2 linked regions of the Drosophila melanogaster genome follow. The gene in region 2 interacts genetically with the main gene of each other region. Each region holds a gene or a part of one and is shown on either strand. Other genes may lie near its edges.

Region 1 (3,756 bases), on a different chromosome or scaffold from region 2:
TTAGGAAATGGGTTAAGGAAATCAAACCAATCAATACAAATTTAATTTTAATTATCTTTGTATATGTATCCATATTCCCCCCAATATTTCAAGTTCCCCCTAGCCAGAGCCAACTGTACAGTTCTGTCTGTGAAGAAAGAGGTCGCGCTCGTGTGCACCCAACAACAGCAAGAACCAAAAGGCAAGACGAAAGCTCCAACCATCCAACAACTACAACAGTTGCCGCGCTGCTTTTGGCGCTCTCGTTTGCGCTCGCTCTAACACATGCGATTTAAAAGTTGGCGCACCAGCTTTCGGCTCTCCCCTCTCTGTTACACCACCGGGCCCAAAACCACTTTTCTGTCGACCGAACCAACTGGTTCTCTCGCTCTCTCCCTCTCTGTCTGCGCTCTGTCTCTACGTCTCACTCTCTCGTTCTCCGGTGAACTTTGCAACAAGAAAAAGCTGATAAGCAAGATAGACGGCGGGAATGCGGGGGGCGGAGCCACTCATTCAACTCAATTGACAGTGGAAAACTTGTACAAAAATCTCTAGACAACTTTTGGAGCGGAGCGTAAATCTGCGTTATTTATACATATGTATGCATTTGCGTGCGAGTGTCAGTTTCTCTGCGCTCCAAACATTAACCTATTTCTGCGATTGGATTTCTCTGTTTACAAACTGTACGAAACGTTTGAGGTTATGTACAAGCTCTCTTATTGAAAGGTGTTTTAGGCAGTGTTTCCGAACCGAGCACTTACCTTTAGCAAGTCCAGCAGAAAGGGGGAGGCGGCGCACAGGACTATCTTGTGGGCGGGAAAACTCCGCCCGCCGGCGGCCAACGTGCAATCGACGAGGTCGCCATGGCAGCGCAACAATTGGATTGCCGATACGAGGCTGGTGCCGTAATCGCCCCAGGTGAGCGAATACAGCGAATTCATTGGCAGCGACATCAAAGCGGTCGCGTCCAAATCCAACAATTGTTGTTCCTCCCCAGCGTTGCTAGCGTATTCGCTGCTATTTGTCTCCAACACGACGATTTAATGTTTAACGGTTACGGGGAAAATTCTCTTCAAGTTGGGATTTTTCGCAAAAATCCCCTTTCTACTCCTCCTCCACGACGCCACTGCTTTTCCAACTCCCTTTGCTCTTCCTCTTCTTGCTGCTTGGCGCGCTGCTTTCTCGAAACTGAAATGAAAAATGGAAAAGAAAAAGAGTACAGACGTTAGTTATTAGCTCTCTCTCTCTCTCTCTCTTTCTCGGTCTCACTCTCCCGCTCTCGCACTCTTTGGGGGCCAGAGCGCGCGAGAGCGAGACAACGCATGTGTGTAGGCTGCTCACAGGAATTTTGTTGTTGGAGAAGACTTTTTCACAAGGGGACTGACAACTAGTATACAATTGATGTTTCAAAATTCGTTGCTGCCCACAAAAATCACACAAAAATAGCGCGCCACATTTAAAAACGCCAACAGCACACACACGCGCACAAACTCAGACAGACGGACAGCCGACACAATCACATTTTTTAATACACAGTACAGTCAAGCCATGAGACACGCATTTAATTTTTTTTTGTCACTCAGTTATTTTGTTCGTTTTATAATCGCATGTCTCTTGATTTTGTTATTGTTTTCCCGCTCACGGAGCGCACTTTTTTTGTTTGTTGGTTCGGTTTTGGTTTGTGAAATTATCTTCTCACCGGAGCGCAAAAGAAAATTTCAGTGGCTGTGGGTGATTTTGTGCCTTCTCTTTCTCTTGCCCGTACGCTTTTTTCTCCTGCTTGTTTGTCCGCTCGCCAACGTTGGATAACTCGAACTGAGACTGAGTAAATGGTTTCGATCGAATTTCGCTGCTCCGGCGCTGCCAGCGCGGCCAGTTTTTCAGTTCTCTACTCGGGGAGAAAATGTGTAATTTCTGTACTGCTGGTGGTGGTTATTTTGCGTGCTGGTGTGCGTGCGCGCCTGTATCTGTGTATCTATGAGAGAAGTGACCTGCCTGGCAACGCTCTTTGAAGTACAGTTGTCGAGCGGCATTGCCAGATGGAGCGCAGGAAGAGTATTTTTAGGATGGAGAGGAGAGCAAGACGGCAAGACAAAAAAGTCGGCAAGATAGTAAACAAAACTATAAAAGGTGGTAAATATTGAATGATGGAAATATTCTGGGCCGACTTCACGGATGAAAAACACATGTGTCCGACCGGTTGGAATATCAGAGTGCGATAAGAAAAAGGTCAACGGGATCCGTAGGTTCCGGTTCTATAACTATCGGATCCGGTATCAAAATATTCAACATTTTCTTATACTACTCCACTCTGAATAAGCTCAAATTTTACAGTTTAAAAATGAAGGATAAACAATTCAGAACGTTTTTGAATTATTCTAGCTAAGGTATCGAGCAATTGTATTAAAAATAAATTCCAACATTAGCTATGATTAAATCGATAAGCAGATTTTCGTAGAACGAGTCCCTAATCTAACAATTTATTATGTTTGATCACCAAAATCTAGAAGGGTATTGGGTTCAGAATAAATTACTTTCAGTTTTCTTTTTAAGATACCAGATTCCATTTTTCTGGGAACAAGTGTAATGCTACTGAGGGTTACACAGGAATCAAAAGAATCTGATAGGTTTAGATTAAAATAGACATGTATCGGGACTGGGTTTCTCTTCGGTTCCGAAATATTAACAGATCCTGTGAAAGTAATAATAACAAATGGTAGAAAAGCCGGTTCGCTCTTACGCTCTACATTCTCTTTCCCCTGTCTCTAACTCTCCTCTCTCCTTTCGAATCCAATCCAATCACCTGTTACTTTTGACACATCTCAGAGACCGAGACCCTACGGGGTAAAAACATATAGCCAGTCTCATTCTCGTATGCAGATCAAGTCCAGCTTAAGAGCGGAGAGACCCCGCGATAGGGAAGTTAGTCGAATTTGGAATTGAAGGAGAAGGAGAGTGGCACTTCTAGCCAACGCTCAGAGAAGAAAGTAATATAAAGTGAGCGAGTGTCCAAATTTTTAAGATTACAATTTTCTCTGTTATGATGCTGCTGGGCAGGGAAGGGGCCATGAGAAATGCCGTTCGAAATGCCCCTTTAAAGTTCCAATCGGCGTTAAAGCAGTGAGCATGTTTCATGTTTCGTAGCTGGCAATACCAACCAACGGAGCATGATGTGAGAATGAGGGAGAGCGTGCGCGCTGGGGGGTGTTGGTGGTGGGTGACTCGGCAGAGGTGGAGGAATGAGTGCAAACCAAGCACAGTGGGATACAAAACATAAGTGGTAGGAATAGAATTACTATGTAAAATTTTGGAATACATTGTATAACTGGTTTTTGTAAACAAATTGTATAAGCGTTACTGGACTATTTTTTCCATTGGCTAGTTTTTATAGTGCGTTTGGCCGTACGTTAGTTAAAGATTTTCAAATTAAATTTTTGTATTTTATTAAAATGTATGAAACTTTAAAACATTAAAACTTTTAAACAACGCTTTTGTCCCACCGTGCGCCAGCTCGACTGTTTGAAATTCGAACGGCGCGGCACGACTTTTGCCTGGCCTTCCCCACCGCGCCTTATCACGTTGTTTCTATTAAAAAAAACTGAATATACTTGAAACGAACGCAAAACATGAAGAATTCAGCACAAATTTGTTGAAAACAAATACGCAAATGTATGCGACTTATTTGCCTATCGCCGCTTGCCTATAGATGTATGTACATACATATGTATGTATGTGTGCTCTGGCGTTTGATGGGGGCCATCGAATTATAACCTCATT
Region 2 (3,756 bases):
GACCAATTTCCTGCTGCCCGTTTTTGTTCGTTCTGGCCGTTCGCTTGGGTTGGGGTTGAGCCATAGGCTCTCCAGCAGAGCGACTGGCCCGCTAATTCAAGCAGTTCGGTAATTTCCAAATTGGCGGCCCGTAATCAAACTGTAATGCGGCCGACTCGTCATTAAGCACGCAAGCAGCAACATCACGGCAGCAACATCAATCCAGAAAGCAACCAAAGGCAGAAAAAAGCTGCAAAAAAACAGCACAGCAGAGCAGAAATAAGCACACAAAGGGACGCACGAGTGCAAAGCTGGCAGCTACATCAGATCCAAAACCCATACAAATAATACGGCGGAAGCACCAATAAAGAAAAGGCTTAAAAGCAGCAGCGACAGCACCATAAAAGTCGGCATAAAGCTACAACACTATAGTGTCGATATTAACCCAAACCAGACTCCAAAAACCATCCACAATCCCAGATGCAATGAAGACAATTCATTAACAAAACCATGGCAACAACAGTAGAAAAGCAGGAAATCATTAAGGCTATCAAACAATAGTATCCATTAACTTGTATACATGCACCAATCATGTTCTTTCTTAAGAGTCTTAGAATAATTAGCACATAATACGAATTATTAGTTTTTAGTAGACAATAAGAAGCATTAGTTTTACTTTTTGGATTAAAAGACATGCTTCAATGCAAATCCGCCACATAGGTTTTCATTTTACTTGCACATCGAATAGCAACAACACTGAAATGCAATGGCAACTTGACAGCAACAACTTTCAGCCCCACAACAACAACAGCTGCAACAGCGATTCCAACAAACATATGCTTTGAGAAAAAAAAAAACAAATATGTACCAAGAGAGACAGCCAGACTCACCAACACACTCGCACGCGGACACACCTCCCCAAATAACAAAACAGCTGATTTGTTATCAGCAGTTGCTGAATGAGCCCCACAGAGCGAGCCACTCTCTTGCAGCAACAACAAAATGGGGGGAAAAAAACGACGCCAACGGCGGCTGCTATGGCAACGACCTTCCTTATTTATTACAATGTGTGTAATTCCCAGCCGTTTTCTCACTCTCTCTCGCTCTCTCGCTGTGTGTGTGCGAGCGAGACAGTGCCCTTTCCTGACTTAAATTGCCCATTTTTTAGTACAGAAATGTTTAATATCGCTGTCTGTTTGAGTTTTTGCAATTTGTTTTCCTTTTTTGGTCTGCAGAAAGTCTCTCAGTGCGCAGTTTAGCTTTCGTATTCCAAAACCGGAGAGGTTCTTGGGGTATTTGTTGTATTCTTATATTAAGGAACTACGTAGGTGTGTTCGAAGTTGCGTCGCAGAGGATTTTTAGGCAGTTGTGTGGAGATCACACTGCTTATGTTGATATTATATGGGTTTTAAGTTTTAGGGGTGTACCAAAGTGCTCAGAAATACATAAGTAAAAATAACCCATTCCCATTTTAACCAGGTGATGCTGATAGATTCATTCAACTCCCCGTTTTTAGTGCGGCTCAATTAGCTCTCAACTCGCCGTTAACCCCTTTAGAACCCATCTGCTTTTACGACCCCATAAAGCTGCTCCCAAAAATGCGTTTGCCGTAAAAAATTAAAGCACTAAAACGGTTAAAGACATCGTATTACAAAATAATGTGCGCTCTCTCGCTCTTTTCTCGCCTCTTTGTCTCTCTCTGTCTCGACCAAAGCAGTTGTAAAGATGGCCGCCGTGTAGTAACATGGCTGAATGTATACCACACACACACACGCAGGCACAGAGAGAGCGGTCACAGAGAGGGAGAGAGAGCGGCCATTGAATGCAATTTATATAGGAAAGCAACAATAACAATAACTCTGCGCTCGTCTCCTGCGACTGTGTGTGTGCTGAATACGTCACGGAACATCAGCTGTGCCGAACAGCAGGTAGGCGTCGGCAGAATGGAGCGAAGACGACGTTTCGAGTCAGTCGCTTCAAAGAGCTCGATTCGTGCGGACATAGGAGGAGATAAAGCGTGGTCTGTGGCACGTAATTAACGAAGAAGAGAGTTAAGAAGATTCAACGTCGCGTCGAAGGTGAACACGCAGTTAAAACCCAAAAACAAACGCAACGCAGCCAATTGTGATACGAAAAATAAGTAAATCGGCAGACAATCAACAAAAACAATAAAAGCAAAGCCTACACACAGGCGTAGGCGTCTAGCCAACAGCTGTTTTTCGTGCGCGCTCCGTATTCAGCATACTCGCTGCGCTTACAAACGTCGGCAGAGACCGCGGCAGAGAAGCAAGCGGCGGCAGCAAAACTACAAAGCAGAAACTACAATTCAGATCGCGTTTTTCTTCGGAGTGGATGAGACGTTCGTTCGGCAGTTCTATTGCGCATAGAACTAACAAGTTACCTACTCCGCGAACTCACCCCCGCGAGAAAAGAACAGAACAGAGCATAACCGAATGGAAAGAAGACAAGGAGTAGCTAAAAAGCAACGGTTAAGTTAGCCAGCAAAAACGGGCAAAAAGACTGAAAACACACGTGGATTGTTCACTCACCCCGACACGCGCACCCACTCGCACTCACACTCACCCAGCAGCTCCAACTGTTCGCTGCATTTATGTAAAACCAAACAAAGACTGACTAAAACGCTAATAAATATACAATAAACGTAACGAAACAAAGTTAAACACGCGAACAGCAGCTAATATTATACGGGTTAAAGCGAATTCCAAAGCAAAGCAAACACACATATGGATTAAGGTTCCTCCTATCTCAAAACACAAAAACAAAAGCAACAACCAACTCACGGATTACCTGCAGCGGCAAATTTACCGTTAGCCGCTCTTTTTGGATTACCAGTGCCAATAAAACCACAAAAGTGAATTTTTTCGAAAGTGAAGAAAGCGAAAAACATCCGCAAAATGATAAAAATCTAAATCTAAGTAAATAAGCAAACCAAAAGCGAATTCTGTGTTACCGAAACGAGAGCAAAAGCTAAAAGATCCCCTGAATACAGCAATGACGATGGCCGCCTGTTATGCCAACTACGACATGTCGTCCCTGTCGCACGGCATGTCGGCCCTGTCCGCCCTGCAGCAGCAACAGCAGCAGCAACAGCAGCAGCACAGCCAGACGCAGCAGCAGCATCATCACCAGCAGCAGCAGCAACACATGTACCACGCCGCCGTGGCTGCCCACCAGCAGCAGTTGCTGCAACAGCAGCAGCAGCAGCAACACCACCGCCATCACCACCAGCCCGCCAACACCAGCAGCAGCAGCAACTCGCGCCACAGCCATGCGGCGGCGACCCAAACGCAGGTCGCCGCCGCGGTTGCCAACAGCAGACAACAACAACAACAGCAACAACAGCAGCAACAGCAGCAGCAGCAGCAGCAGACTGCCAGCAGCAACAGCAACGCAGCCCCCGCTCCATCGCCGCAGAAGGACTACAGCATCCCGCTGCACGTGGACTGCAGCGTGGAGTACGAGCTGCCCAACCAGCCCAAGCCGCCGGCGGGCCAGAGAGTGGAGCCCCTGCTGATGATCCACCCGTGCTACTTCCGCAAGATGGAGTCGCAGCGGCGCAGCCCGTTCGTGAACAACATGCATGCGACCGCGCGGGCGGTGAGCAGCAGCTCGCTGAGCAGCGGAGCGGCCCTGGGCGGAGGCGGAAGCGGTGCGGCGGTGGCCACGGCGCCCAGCAGTAGTGCCGCGCGGCGTGGAGCCCGGGCGGCTACGAGCGCCCAGCAGCAGCAACAACAGCAGCAACGCTACCAACAGCAA

Evidence for each region. A genetic interaction does not mean that the proteins touch.
Region 1: of corto (region 2) and Trl, changing one enhances a phenotype caused by changing the other (phenotypic enhancement), as found in Drosophila melanogaster (one study listed by BioGRID).

What each region holds. Positions count from the first base shown.
Region 1 is NT_037436.4:14,756,164-14,759,919, forward strand, and holds the start of Trl (Trithorax-like), read right to left. Parts: upstream 1,800-3,756; 5' UTR 1,679-1,799; exon of another isoform or gene 1,321-1,678; intron 1,174-1,320; exon of another isoform or gene 1,168-1,173; 5' UTR 933-1,167; coding exon 741-932; intron 1-740. UniProt on the Drosophila melanogaster protein: Transcriptional activator that functions by regulating chromatin structure. Overcomes the repressive effects of chromatin by promoting the open chromatin conformation in promoter gene regions, thereby allowing access to other transcription factors.
Region 2 is NT_033777.3:5,085,261-5,089,016, reverse strand, and holds the start of corto (corto), read left to right. Parts: upstream 1-1,944; 5' UTR 1,945-2,991; coding exon 2,992-3,756. UniProt on the Drosophila melanogaster protein: Essential protein required for proper condensation of mitotic chromosomes and progression through mitosis. Binds to specific polytene chromosome sites, many of which are shared with the posterior sex combs (Psc) protein.